Astyanax mexicanus: one gene and its partner. The protein of the gene in region 2 purifies or fractionates together with the protein of the main gene of each other region. This does not show direct contact. Links are inferred from orthologs where the notes say so. Each region holds a gene or a part of one and is shown on either strand. Other genes may lie near its edges.

Region 1 (7,197 bases), on a different chromosome or scaffold from region 2:
CACCTTTTGTGGACAGACCACCAAATTGTATTTCTTTGGTCTGGTCCAAAAATATGTGTAACAAAAAATGCCTCAAAAAAAAGTAATTACATTTCAAGATGTAATAATTAATAATTGTTAATAAATTATTATTTTTTTTTATTAATAATAAAATAATAAGGTAAAAAAGAAGGTAGTAAAAAAGGAAAAATAAATTACATAGTTATTGATTAATCTTATAGTTATAATCCATGGTAGATTATTGATGGCCAGGGTAATCTATTGTGGCAACCCTTCTAAAACATGCAGGGCGGAGGTAGTGCGGGTTAATGTTTATAATACTGTGTAAGCTTTCATTTTTTAATTAAGAAATGTAGAGCTGAATAGAACAGTCCAGTCACAACATGCTATTAGCATTATTAAATTAATAAACCATTTTAATGAACAATTACCTATCATCCTCTAGCATTATCCTTTCCTGCAATATACTGTTTTTATCAGTACTGCCCAAGAATAAGGCCTGGTCTGGTACAGAGAGCCATGCATCTACACACATCTACATCTCTTTGCCATATCTAACATAACAAACAAAAAAACCTTTGGCCAGATTTGCAGTTCATTGCCTTTCTTGTGCTTTATCTACAGGTGGGATTGTGTCGGTGTACAGGAAAGGTCACCTGTTTGATGTGGAGTTGGCGAATAGAGGTGTGTCTCTAAAAGAGAGTGCTTTCACTATTCCTGGGCCGAGTTTAGTGCCTCCTGTTGAAACACCCGTTGGAAAGGTACGGCAGTCGAGTCTCTGTATGAAGGTTTAAGTGTTTAAAGTGTTTGTGTTGTGTATTAACCAGCATTAGTATTAGTACCTGTTAAATGGTTCTATAGGTGGGACTGGGTATCTGTTATGATCTGCGTTTCCCTGAGTTGTCGCTGGCTCTTCAGAGGCAAGGGGCGGAGATCCTGACTTATCCATCAGCGTTTACTGTGGCAACTGGAGCCGCTCACTGGGAGGTGAGACACAAAGTTAAAACGAGTGTTACAGAAGCTTTATTGGTTCCTTGAGCTGTTTTTATTTGTTTTCTTAATCAGGTCTTCAAACAACAGACAGCGTAGGGTGGAATACAAAAATTACATAAACTGTGCGTTTATTCATGTTTTGTCATTTATTTAATCCACCATTGTTTTTATAGACATACTCCTTGTAGCATTTGGTAAAAATGAGTAATGTGTTCAATAAAAGCTATTTAATTCTGATACACAAATGGAATTGCTGTTCCAAACCTGAATACTGTGCTTCCAAGAGGTTAAAAAAATCAGTTTGACCAGAGGAGATACAATTTTACTCATCTCATTTTTTTTACAATCTTAAATATGCAATATTAACGGTATTAATTACTTATTAACGCTTTTTGACAGATGAATATCAGTCTTACATGACCTCCAAACATGGTTTGAGTAATCCAATCGTAATCTTGAGGGTCTTGAAGGTGTTTAGCCCTGGCGATCAGACATACAGGGGCATTTTCCCAAACAATGATTAAGCCTAATTGTAGACTAGATTTTTCTTTCAACTGAAAATCTCTATTCACAATCATGTGTAGTCCAATACTAGGCTTAATCCCTGTCTGGGAAACTGCACAGAGGTGAACTAAATTGATGCTCTAAAATATGCAGACTATTTTATTTTTGGCTTTTATTTTTTAACAAGTTTTATTCATATATTGTTACTAGAAAATCAACAGAATAAGTGATTTGAGCATGATTGCCCAAACTATTGCAAGAGATTCAGTGAAATGTGTTTAGATAGAGAAACAGCCTCACATTATTCTCTCTTGTTTCCAGGTGCTTTTGCGAGCCAGAGCCATTGAAACACAGTGTTTTGTTTTGGCTGCAGCACAAGTTGGAGCTCACCATGCAAAACGTTCATCATATGGCCATGCGCTAGCAGTGGATCCATGGGGTGTGGTCATGGGGGACTGTGGGGGGACAGAGGGTGGCGTGGCTTTGGTGGAGATTAACCTGCAGAGACTACAGGACACTAGAAGGGACATGCCGGTCCAACAGCACAAGAGGCAGAGCGAGTACTACTGTGGTCTGGATTAAACTGAGATGGACAGCGTATCTACAAAGGATGTTGAATATGGTTAAAGATGGAGTTGGGAATACCATGTAATTTTTTGTGGACCAGTTATGCATCATACACTGTATGTCCAGATGTTTGTGAACACCCCTTCTAATCAATGCATTCAGCTAATTGAAGTTAAACCTATTGCTGCACAGATGTGCAAATGCACACCCAGCTTGTGTAGTTTTTTTTTTATAGAAGTATTTCTAGAGAATATAACTCACTTGAGCAGATAAACTTGAACCTTTTGGCATCACATCTAATGCCAGACATGGGCTAGTGAAATATAAAGCCCTCAACTGTGGAGCAGTGCAGCTGTGTTCTGTGGAACGATGATGCCCCATCCAATACTTTTGGGATAGGTTGGGGACTTGTGAATGAAATGTGAATGGAAAGCTGAGACAGTTACTCCAACAAAAGCAGAATATACTCTTTTCACTGCGGTTGAATTTGTGAATGTTTTTTTTTTTTCAGGAATTTGGAGATAAATTATGTCATACACACCCAACTATGAATGAGATGGGATTTGGTTTTACATCTGAACGGTAGTTATAGTCCTGTGGGGGTTGATGCTTTTCAATAAAATATTATTCAGTAAAATGGAAATACTAATGAACAGATGTTATGACTTCCTCCCTCATAATCAATACTGCATGTTCAGCTCACCAACACCCCAGCATTCTTAGATCTGAGCTTCACACATTCAGTTCCCATTTTAGAAAGAGAAAGAAGGAGAGGAGGGGGAGGGAGGTAGAGATGTGAGACACAAAATAGGAGGTGGGAAGAGTAAGATGAGATGTAAAAGACATGGGACATGGAAGAGAAGGGGGTGAGGCAAAAGGAGACAGAAATAGAAGGAGCGAGTGAGAGAAACAAAGGATGCAGATGAAACTTAGAGAGTCAGAAGAGTGAGACAGGAAAGAGGGACTGATGTATGAGAGTATGGGAGACTGGAAGGTGAGATTGAGATAGAAAGGCTCTGGGAAAGAGCCTGTATAAGAAAGAGAGGTATAAGAGGTATAAGAAAGAGAGACAAAAGAGGGGATGTAGGAGAAAGTAAGACAAAAAAAGAGGAGTAAAGTAAGAGTGAGACTAAAACTGAGAGACACAAACAAAGAGAGGGGATGAGGGAGAGAAATAGAGAGGATGTGGGAGAGAGCACAAAAAGTTGGAAGAGAGACACTAAAAGGTAATGGATATAGAAGGCATTAAGAGAGATGGGAGAGTGGGACAGAAAGTGAGGGAAAGTGAGAGAAAGAGATGGGAGGGTGAGAGAGATGGGAAAGAGACACTGAAAAAAGATGGAAGAGAGGGGATGTGGAAGAGAGTAAAAGATGGGAGAGACAGAAAAGGATGAAAGAGAGGATGTGGAATGTAGAAGAGAGAGAGAGATGGGAGAGTGGGACAGAAATGGAAGGAAAAATGAAGAAAGTGATGGAAGATTAATAGAAATGGAAGGGTGACAGAAAAAGAGATGGGAGAGGGAATGTGAGAGAGAAAAATAGATGAAAAAGGATGTGGGAGAGAGTGAGAGAGGTGGGAGAGAGACAAAAAAAAGAGATGAAAGATAGAGGGGATGAGGGAGAGAGAGAAAAAGAGAAGAAACAGAGGGGATGAGGGAGAGAGTGAGAGAGATGGGAGAGAGACAGAAAAAGTGGTGAAACAGAGAGGGGATAAGGGAGAGTGTGAGAGGTGGGAGAGAGAAAAAGAGATGAAAGATAGAGGGGATGAGGGAGAGAGTGTGAGATGGGAGAGAGACAGAAAAAGAGATGAAAGATAGAGGGGATGAGGGAGAGAGTGAGAGAGATGGGAGAGAGACAGAAAAAGTGGTGAAAGAGAGGGGATGAGTGAGAGAGATGGGAGAGACAGAAAAAGAGATGAAATATAGAGGGAATGAGGGAGAGATGGGAGAGAAACAGAAAAAGAGATGAAACAAAGAGGGAATGAGGGAGAGAGTGAGAGACGGGAGAGAGACAGAAAAAGAGATGAAACAGAGAGGGAATGAGGGAGGGAGATAGTGAGAGAGACTGGGGCACACCGGAAGCAAACGTCACTGACACAGGAATGGGCTAAGATCATCTCAGCAGCAGCATCAGCAGCCGAACATGGCTTCTACTAAATCCTGAGAGGGTTCGTGTGTTATTAGTGTGATTATAATTTTAAAGTGGAGAAAGCATGGTGTGTTACCTCAGGGTCGGTTTCGAGGCTGTGTTATTCAGGTAAGGCGGCGCTGTGGGCTCGGCTGGGGTTGGTTAGTGTGTTTAGCAGCTGTTAGCTGTTAGCTTCTCCTCAGCTGCTCCTGAACTCTCTGAGGGCTTTTTTTAATGAAGATAACCTCGATTTTACACTAACCTTCACATCTAAAACACCTGAGTCTGATTAATGACCGGGTCCAGGAGCTCCTGAACACCGCTGGCTGAGTGTTTGTTTGTGCTGTTGTTTATGAAGCTAGTTGTAGCTAGGTTAGGTTAAGTGTTGTTGTTTATCTAATACTCGTTTGTAGCTAAATGTGACTTTCGTCCGCTCTGTGTTCAGTCAGGCCTCCTCGTTCACACAGGTGTGAAATATAGCCGGTTAAAACCCGTATTATAGCGTTATTTCTGTTTCTGTCTGTTTAATATGAAACGGTAACTGTTAACTATGTCGTATCGTTTTCATGTAGTAGTTAAGCACTGGAGTTACGCGGTTTGTCTTTATACAGGTGTTCCCTCGTGAAATATATTAATTCTTGAATCTAAACTTAGTAGTAGGTAGACGATATGGCCTTAAAAATAATATCACGATAATTTATGGAATTTTTGCTATAGCGATACTTTTAGCGATATGACAAAACACTGAAATAAAAAAAAGTATTTTAATAATACGCTACTGAAACAGAATGAAAATTACATTTTATTATTGCATATCACATGATATTACACACCCCTAACTGAGATATTAAAAAATATAAGTATTTTATCAGATTTCTAACAGAAGACAATGATCCAGAATGTCATGATACTAATAATGCACTGCATATATCCTGGATTAAAGTAAAATAAATGATACTGGACAGATATAATATGTCTCTAGTATATATATAACGTGAAATAAGAACAGTGTGAATTTTTTTTGTGCTGAAAACAGCAAAGAAGTAGTACCCTGATGTGATAATTAGGGGTGGGTGATATGGCACGATATTTCAGTTTATAATATCGTTCACGATATTCAAAAATGTTTATGATATTATTTTTTACAATACAACATGACACACCCCTTCTTAAAAAGCATTAAATGTATGTTTAAATTAGGTAAAAAGTACTAAACGTATGTTTTAAATTTAATATACCAATTTAATATAAAAATACACATTGAATATACTTTTTCTGTATTTTTCATAAAATGTATTTTTATACAATAGGCTTCAAATTATACAGTGTGGTGACCGAATATATAAATATGTTTTGGCGTTAAATACTTTAAAAAAAGTGCACTTTAGTTTTTTTCAGTAGCTTTAAAGTGTACACAATATGTGCATCAATACGCAAAGAAGTACATTTAGAACATACTTCAAGTGTATTAAAATTATGCTTAAGTTCGCAGAAGTTATACGAATTAAAATCACTTAAAAGCACAGCCTAATGCTTCTACGTTGTATTTAAATATAGCTGAATTACAATTGAAATATACTTAAGTTGCCATAAGTACGTATTCATTTTAGTGTTAAAAGTATGTATTTTTTCATGTTAGGTATACTTACAAAATATACTTAAATGCAAGGGTTGTTACAAATTGATAAGGTGCACACCTTGTTTGTTTTATCACACCTTGTTTGTTTTATCACACCTTGTTTGTTTTACCAAACCTTGTGTCTGTGTTTTTACGTTTTTACATAGATAATTGCTAGATAGAAGCCTTGTCTTCACTTTATTATGGAGCAACACATTTAAAACAAATTATTTCACACGTTACATAAAATACAGAACTTATTCGCTCATAATTACGTTTATATAGCACCTTTTTGCATTGAGCACTGAGGAGTTGACCCAGCAGAGAGTGCCAATCCATATCTGGGCATACAGTCATACATACTTACACACAGTGGACAATTTATTGGACTGTGGGAGGAAACTCACACAGACACAAGGAGAACATGGAAACTCCACTCAGATAGGGACTTGAATCCAAGCTCCTAGTGCTGGGAGGCAAATGTGCTAACCACCAAACCACCCTGCCCCTTACAGTGCTCTCTTAGGGCTGAGTGGACTAGTTCACTAGCTAGTTATCTAGTTTATAACACTATTTAAAGTTATTAAGACCAATTCTTTAAAGTTTCAAAATACATACAAATCTTAAACCAAGATTTTGTATAAAACAATAATAGTGTATCAAAAAAAAATTAAGTAATATAACCAGAAACGTCTACCATAGTGCAATCTAAATTGCAGGATATTTACTGATTACATATGAACTGCAAACAAACAAACAAACAAACAAAAGTAAATACAGTAAATGGCTTTCAAGAAAATAGTTGTATTTGCTTAAATCAATTTTATTGGTTTCTACTGTTTTATTTTCATTAAGACCACACGCAATGGACAGAGAAGATTAGATGGGGCCCTTTAGGGAGGTTAGGTCTTTCCTTCTGTCATTGCAAACTTTGTAAAGTGTAGAAAGGAGCTTTTATTTATAAAGTACGTCAGTAAGCAAGAAGAGGAATGGAGATGTGGTCTGTCCCAGTGTTCAATTTCAATCTCTTGACCCTATATCTAGAGTTGTTAATGGTAAAATGGTGGTGTATGTAAAATATAAAACTTTTTTCTTCACTGTTCTCATAATAAGTGAATCAGTGTTATAACTACATATACTTGGCCTAGTTTATCAGACTTTTATTTAGCAGGCTTTTTTCTTTACTTTACTAAAAAATACCTTACTTCCTTAAAATTATGGATTAAAATATGGATTTTGGGATGCATGGAAACGTATATCCTTCCTCATGATGTTTTTCGTCACTCATAAGCCACAGAGAGATGTAAAGTGTGAAACAGGCCTTACAGTAGCTAAACATCTGGTTCATGATGTGTTCAGTAATTATTCAGAAACTGTTTGTAGTTTGT
Region 2 (8,043 bases):
TATATGGATATGATACAATTGCATATGAAATAAATCTATATATATATATAGTACATATCTATTTTTAATCTCCAGCTACTTCACTTCTGTGGCCGCAGTGGCCGTTTATGCGTTTATGATGATATGAATGTGTTGTATATATTGTGTGTAAAGGTATTAGATTCAGTTAAACTCTGAAGGTGGGGTCAGGGGTTCTGTACGCTTCGTTAGTCTGCAGTGATTAACTCGATAAAGAATGCACACTTCCTTTTTCAGCTCAGCAGATTCAGTGCAGTGCTGGTTGTTCAGTAACTTTAATGGGTGCATTGATTGATAGATAGATAGATAGATACTTTATTGATCCCGAAGGAAATTTAGCAATGCTAGTGCTAAGTTTCGGATAGAAATGCTGGTCTAGGCTTAAAGCAAAAAAAAATATTTAATAGCCTGTTATCCTAAAAAAAAGCCCACTGAGGAGAAAATAAGCAGATCAGCATCCGTCTTGTAGTCCTTCTGGGTTCCAAACTGTCTCCATCTATTGGTATTTTACCTCGTCTCTGTTCATGGAGCTTTTTAGAAGGAAGCCGATGCTGCAACACACTGTTAACACTTCACAAGAATGCACACTTCCTTTTCCAGCTCAGCAATTTCAGTGCAGCACTGGTTGTTAAGTAACTTTAACGGTTGCAATGTTTGCAATGCTTGTGTTGAATCTCTGATAGAAATGCTGTTCTAGTCTGGTCTTAAAGGAGAACTCTGGTGTAAAATGTACTTTTGTTGTAGTAAAACATGATAAAAAGTTCTTATCTTTGATGAATAGCACACCTCCGCTCTCCCACAGCGTTCAGAGATCCAGAAATTTTAACAGTTTATCCAACAAACACCCTTCAGACTGGGAGATACGGGGCATAATTTACCCTGATAAATCACTTTTTACACCGTTATCCAGCTCAAAGTAGCTCCACACCTCCTTACTAGAATCTGGAGAGCCCTGATATTTAAAACGAGGCATTAATAACTTAGAAAGTGCACAAAAAGAAGCTTATTAAAATCCACTGTTTACATCCCGTAACACTACTAGCTGCCGCCGCCATCACTGTACTGATAATGACATAGACATATATATACATAGACTCTGCATTGCATCTATAGAATCTATGTATATATATGTCTGTCATTATCAGTACAGTGATTGCGGCGCTCAGAGCTGAAGCTAGTAGCATTATGGGATGTAAACAGTGGTTTTTAATAAGCTTCTTCTTCTGCACTTTTTAAGTTATTAATGCCTCGTTTTAAATATCAGGGCTCTCCAGATTCTAGTAAGGAGGTGTGGAGCTACTTTGAGCTGGATAACGGTGTAAAAAGTGATTTATCAGGGTAAATTATGCCCCGTATCTCCCAGTCTGAAGGGTGTTTTTGGATAAGCTGTTAAAATTTCTGGATCTCTGAACGCTGTGGGAGAACGGAGGTGTGCTATTCATCAAAGATAAGAACTTTTTACCATGTTTTACTACAACAAAATCCATTTACACTATTTTACACAGGAGTTCTCCTTTAAAGGAACAAAATGTACTTTATTACAGCAAGCATGTAAAATAGATAACGGAGTCCAATTTCAAAGCTTTCTGCTTGAACAGAACCTACAGGGAAGAAAAAGCAAGTTCAAGAACGCTTTAAAGGGCTTTCAACACTGTACTCTGATAATAATTCGATCAGCTAATGTATATGTTTGTATAAGGTTGCGATGTATGCATTATTCTTGCAGCATTATAAACCAGCAGATATGGAGTTTATATAACTTTTAGCTTTTTAAACTGTTAGCTAGCTGCACCGTTATCTTAAAAAAAGACAATTGAGGAGAAAATGAGCAGCTCAGCATCCGTCTTGTAGTCCTTCTGGGATCCAAGCGATCTCCATCTACTGGTGTTTTAAACTATCTCTGCTCATGTAGAAGAAAGATTTTTAAGAAGATGCTGAGGCTACAGTACACCAAAGTTTACCTACGCTAGTGTGTTCCATACCTGGCAACCTGATAGAGGTAGTGGGCGTGGTTTAAGACTAAAACAGAGACAAACAGGTTTACACTCCATATTGAACAATTAATGGAAGAACCTCCTAGCTAAAGCTCTGCTGTCTGTGTGATGCAGGGGCTTAAAGTTAGCATTAGCTCTTTTACTGCTACTAAAAATTAGGTCAACAAAATTGATCAACTGATCACTGATCAGTTTCTGGGAATTTAACGGTATGTTTTGACTACAGGAATCTGAGCTTGGGCTACTTAACGCTACTCATTTATGTTACAGAGTTTAAATTAAAGTCTATATTTTTATGTCTGTACATCTAACATGTAAATAAAAAAACAAATAAACCTGGTATTGTTTCAAATCTATTTAAAAACCGATGGGTGGGAGAGTAGAATGAAGTAACTGTAGTAATAATCTGTGTAATAAATCAGGTTAAACTGTACCTGAACAGCTGTTTAGCTCAAATTAAAGGAGTATATTTGATAGCTGGGTCAGATCGAGACTGCATTACGTTCTCGTGTGGTGGGTGGGTCTTTAAAATGTAGCTCCTCAACCACAGACGCAGCTCCTCCTCTGTTGAAGGTGTGAACGGAAGTTTAACGGAAAATGTGGGTAAATTTTTGTACAAAATTAATTCTATAAAAATCTGTTTATCCATTGTACATGCGTTTTACTGTACGTAGATAAAAAAAATTAGTGACAGGACAGGGACACTTCAGGGGGCCAATCAGGTTTCAGCTTGGGCCAAAATGTCATTGTGGCCCCGTCCTTACGTAAAACTGTATCAAGCTTTATTAAACTCATATATTATGTAGATGTATTACACACAAAGTGATCTATTTTAAATGTTTATTTATTTTATTATTGATTATTATGAAGCTTACAGACAATAAAACCCAAAAGTCAGTGTCTCAGAAAATTAGAATATTATAAAAGACCAATTGGTACTTTTGGCAGTGTGGGCAGTGTGCCAAGTCCTGCTGGAAAATGAAATCCTCATCTCCAAACCATCACTGATTGGTGGAAACTTCACACTAGATCTAGTCTAAAGTAATTTCTTCTTTTATGGAGATGTGGATTTTATTTTCCAGCAGGACTTGGCACACTGCCCATACTGCAGAAAGTACCAATTGGTCTTATATAATATTCTAATTTTCTGAGACACTGATTTTTGGGTTTTATTGGCTGTAAGCTTCATAATCATCAATAATAAAATAAATAAAGGCTTAAAATAGATCACTCTGTGTGTAATACATCTATATAATGTGAGCTCCACATTTTGAACTATTAAAATAACTTTTCAATGATATTCCATACCTGTCAAGTCTCCCGTTTTGGCCGGGAAGCTACCGTATTTTACTCCTCTTTCACGCCGTCCTCCCGTATTATTATTTTCCCGTAAATTTCCCGTATTATATTAAAATAATATATATATATATATATATATATATATATATATATATATATATATATATATATATATATATTATTGAGGAGACAGGGCACTGACCGCTCTGTGTCTCTTAACCAATCGTGGAGCCGGTTCAAGGAGAAAGTCCCGCCTTTCAGGAGAAACAGCCAATCAGCTTGCAAAGGAGGGTCAGTGTGGGGAAGCCCCCCGTCGCGGTGAGTTCAGGCAGCTCGTCGGAGCAGCTGATGATAAAACCTATCTGTATATACAGCGATTTTTCTAAAAGAAATGTAACTGTAGGCTAATGGAAACTATGATGAGATTTTTCTGATAGCTGCTTAAAAATACTCATCTCCGAAATAAAACACACAGATTAAACCTTTTAAAATTATAAAAATAAAGTTTGTGACTCAGTTTAACTAGAAATTTGTAGAGGACCGAAATGAACTGAACTGATCAGGGGTGGAGTGATCAAAAGAAAGAAGTATTAATTAAAGATTATTAATTGTGTAGGCCCATTAGGACTAATTTTTACTGATGGAATATATCTGGTCCTTGTCCTTTTAGTAAAAGCTCATGATACTATTTTTTAGGTCACCTACAGTCATTTTGTAGAATTTGTGCACCCTTTGTTCAATTTTAAATCCATTAAATAAAAAAATATATATATCATATAAAAGAGTGCATTATGCCAAAAAAGCCAAGACATGAAATCTTAACTTTTTTTAAAATATCTAGATAAGGATTTTTAATTTGGCTGCATTAAAAGAATGACATATGTAGGATTGTCCACAACATTTCAGATTCTGATAATCTAATTGTAGTGTGTAAGTGTTTCACATGTGGTTATTTTAGATTTTTTTTAAACCTGTCTTAAAATGTAAGGGATACTGAACCTTCGTTGGGGATGGTGGGACGGCTTTAAGTGGACAGAGGAAAATATCCCTTATTTTTAAATCTAAAACTTGACAGGTATGTGATATTCTATTTTTTTAAGATGCACTAGTATAAAAATAAAAAAGAGAGCACTTCAGTTTCTGAATCAGTTTCTCTGCTTTTGCTATTTACAGGTTTATGTTTGATAAAAATGAACATTGTTGTTTTATTCTATAAACTACAGACAACATTTCTCCCAAATTCCAAATAAATTTATTGTCATTTAGAGCATTTATTTACAGAAAATGAGAAATGTCTGAAATAACAAAAAAGATGCAGAACTTTCAGACCTCAAATAATGCAAAGAAAACAAGTTCATATTCATAAAGTTTTAAGAGTTCAGAAATAATCAATATTTGGTGGAATAATCCTGGTGGTTTTTAATCACAGTTTTCATTCATGCATCTTGGCATCATGATCTCCGCCACCAGTCTTACACACTGCTTTTGAATAACTTTAAGCAGTTCAGTTTGGTGGTTTGTGATCATCCATCTTCCTCTTGATTATATTCCAGAGGTTTTTAATTTGGTAAAATCATTTTTAAGTGCTTTATTATTTTTTTCAGAGCTGTATAGTTCCTGTTTTTTGGTTCCTGTTGTTTGAGGGGGGAGTGTTATTGGTGCTGCACAGGGTGCTGATGATCAGCTGATGTGTTGGTAGTGCAGTACTGATTACACTCGGTTATTAATCTGATCTTTAGCCTTTAGAACCGTCCAGAACCCGCGGCTCCGGTTCTGATCGGCTCCGGTTCTGATCGGTGTGTGTGAGCGGGGTGTGAGCGGAGAGCTGTGCGGTAGAGAGATGCAGGCTGCGGGCGGAGTGCGGCTGCTGGCGCTGGGCTGTGTTCTGGTGCTCTCAGCGCAGCTCGCCGAGAGTAAGGTAAATAATCACATTTAATTATTAATATTAATATTAATAAACATTAATATACACTATCAGTTATTAAATATACCATTCTGTATCAGCGTCTACACCAGGATACCGTTTACATATAAACATCACTAGGCTAGCTACTGTACTTAGCTTCACTAGCTAGCGCGCTAATGCTAACTCTGTAGTTATCAGTGTAGTAACTAACGTTATAGCTATATGACAGCGGACTGTAAACCCAGTTAGCCAGCTAGCTTTAGCTAGATAATAACACTAACTCTGTAGTTATCAGTGGACTTTAAACCTGGTTAGCTTTAGCTTTAGCTAGCTCTGTAGTTAATCAGTGTAGTAACTTAACTAACTTATATAACAGCGGACTGTAAACTGAGTGACCAGCTAGCTTTAGCATTAGCCTTAGCTAAATAATAACTCTATAGTTTACCTGGTTAGCTTTAGCTTTAGCTAACTCTTTAGTTAGTAATGCAGTATATAACCTAGTTAACTGTGGGCTTTAAACATAGTTAGCTTTAGCTTCCTAAATTATTCTCCTTACTCATTTTTCAAGTTTTCCAGAAAAACTTGAAAAATGAGGTTTATAACGCTAACGTCAGCTAGTTAACGTTACACTAAATGTCATTTCGACAATTATCTTAAATAAAAATCGCCTTATTCTTTTATTTTTCACTAAAATTGTTATAGTAAAAAAACAAAAACATATATGACATGTTTTATTATCAGCTTTAGCTAGCTGCAGTTAGCAGTGTAGGCTAGAACTGAGGGCTTTTAACATAGTTAGTCATAGGTTTAGCCCTAGTTTTAGCTTTAGCCCTAGTTTTAACCCTAGCTGTATTGCTGGTTTTGGATTCAGTCCTAGTTTTAGACCTAGCTGAAGACATAGCTTTAGCCCTATCCATAGTTTTAGCTTTATTCCTAGTTTTAGCTTTATCCCTAGTATTAGCTGTATCCCTAGTTTTAGCTTTATCCCTAGCTGTATGCCTAGTTTTAGAGTTATCCCTAATTTTAGCTGTATCCCCAGTTTTTTACCCTAATTTTAGTCCTAGCTGTATTCCTCAGATTTAGCTTTATTCCTAGATTTAGCCCTAGCTGAATCCATAATTTTAGATTTAGCCCTAGCTGTATCGCTAGTTTTGGCTTTAACCCCAGCTGTATCCCTAGTTTTAGCTTCAATCCTAGTTTTGGCGTTAGCCCTAGCTTTATCCTTAGTTTTAGCTTTAGCCCTATCTATATGCCTAGCTTTAGATTTATCGCTTATTTTATCTGTATCCCTAGTTTTAGCGTTAGCCCTAGGTTTAGCCCTATCTGTATCCCTAGCTTTAGCCCTAATTTTATCTGTATCCCTAGTTTTAGCCCTAATTTTGGCCGTAGCTCTAGTTTTAGGTAGATAATAACACTAACATCAGCTAGTTACACTTACTGCCATATTGACACTTTTTTTACTTAATAATCTCCTTAATCTTTTTTTTCAAGGTTGTTCAGAAACTCAAAAAGTATATCAGGGTTTTTAAGGGAATTTAGATTAAGATTAGGCATTGTGCACAAAGGTACCTGGTACCTGAGTCCTATTCTTTTGGCAGTACTGTGATTTAATGTATTAATTAAAAGGATGTCTGCAGTTATTTGGATATGTAGCTGGTTGGGTTGGTTAGCTGATAAAGTGTGGTTATGTTTCTTTATCCGCCAGTAGTGCAGAACTCAGGTTAAAAACAAAACAAGGGGGCTAGGCTCTGCCACGATATTTACATTATCAACTAATTGTACAATAAATTGACATGACCTTAATAATATGCAATAATGGTGATTTTTAACAGTGAACAGTTTTTTGCCCTGCCCTTACCTGTGGCGTCTTGTGATTGATACACAGGGTTTAGATATTTCCCTTGTTAATCTTGTTTTTTTATGTTTCTATGTTGTTTTTTTACTCTGTTTCAGAACTCTGAAGACATACGATGCAAGTGTATCTGCCCACCTTACAAAGAGATCGAAGGACAGATCTACAATCAGAACGTTTCACTGAAGGATTGGTAATCCATTAAACACAATCTGAGAATCTGCTTTTCCACAGGGGATTAAATTTAGCTCTGGGCTGTTCAGAGAGCTGCACAGTGCAGTGAGCCTGACACGATAATTACTTTATTGATTTATTGTACACTATACCCGGCACAACCTTTGTCATTTCCGCTGAACTCAGAATTATTATTAATGTTTATAAACAGCCCAGATAGGGATTGATGGACGGAGGTTTCCGGTTGAGAGTACCGTTTTTTTTTTTTTTGCACTATAAAGTGCATTGTGCGACACTAGTAAGGAACAGGGGTGTCACCATTTTTTCCTACTAATTCAGCAGGTCTTGCCACTGGGTGGCGGATCTGTAAAGCTAAGCTTAGTTAGGTAAACAAAAAATTCCCTTCTAATTCTTAAATACAATAACAAATGCAGTAAATACATTTTTCTCAACTATTTTTTTTTCTGTAATACCTAATATTATATTTTCTTAGGATTAAATTCTCTGTTGTTACTGTTATGATTCCATCCTTTCCATCGTTCATTCCTACATAAATTCGAGTTTTTAAATCGTTAACGTAATTGTTGATTGGTTTATATTTAACATTTATATTCTTGTCCTCAGTAACTGCCTGCATGTTGTGGAGCCGATGCCGGTGGAGGGGAAGGATGTGGAGGCGTACTGTTTGCGCTGTGAATGCAAATACGAGGAGAGAAGTTCTGGAACCATTAAAGTGAGTTTCTGCTTCTAAAAACTAAGATTATACAGCAAGAAGTTCAGAAGTACATGTGTTTAGTGGA

Evidence for each region. The genes of interacting proteins can lie anywhere in the genome.
Region 1: the proteins of tmem9b (region 2) and clcn3 purify together in Homo sapiens (co-immunoprecipitation; 3 studies listed by BioGRID and IntAct, counting the BioPlex papers as one, with this or other methods). This does not show direct contact. The link is inferred for Astyanax mexicanus from reciprocal best matches to the Homo sapiens genes TMEM9B and CLCN3.

The regions. Positions count from the first base shown.
Region 1 is NC_064415.1:14,066,109-14,073,305, forward strand, and holds the start of clcn3 (H(+)/Cl(-) exchange transporter 3), read left to right. Parts: upstream 1-4,142; 5' UTR 4,143-4,231; exon of another isoform or gene 4,232-4,320; intron 4,321-7,197. Other genes in the region: nit1 (deaminated glutathione amidase), read left to right, coding at 625-761, 862-987, 1,819-2,079.
Region 2 is NC_064423.1:41,763,255-41,771,297, reverse strand, and holds the start of tmem9b (transmembrane protein 9B), read left to right. Parts: upstream 1-4,960; 5' UTR 4,961-5,151; coding exon 5,152-5,229; intron 5,230-7,170; coding exon 7,171-7,262; intron 7,263-7,867; coding exon 7,868-7,976; intron 7,977-8,043. UniProt on the Homo sapiens protein: Enhances production of pro-inflammatory cytokines induced by TNF, IL1B, and TLR ligands. Has a role in TNF activation of both the NF-kappaB and MAPK pathways.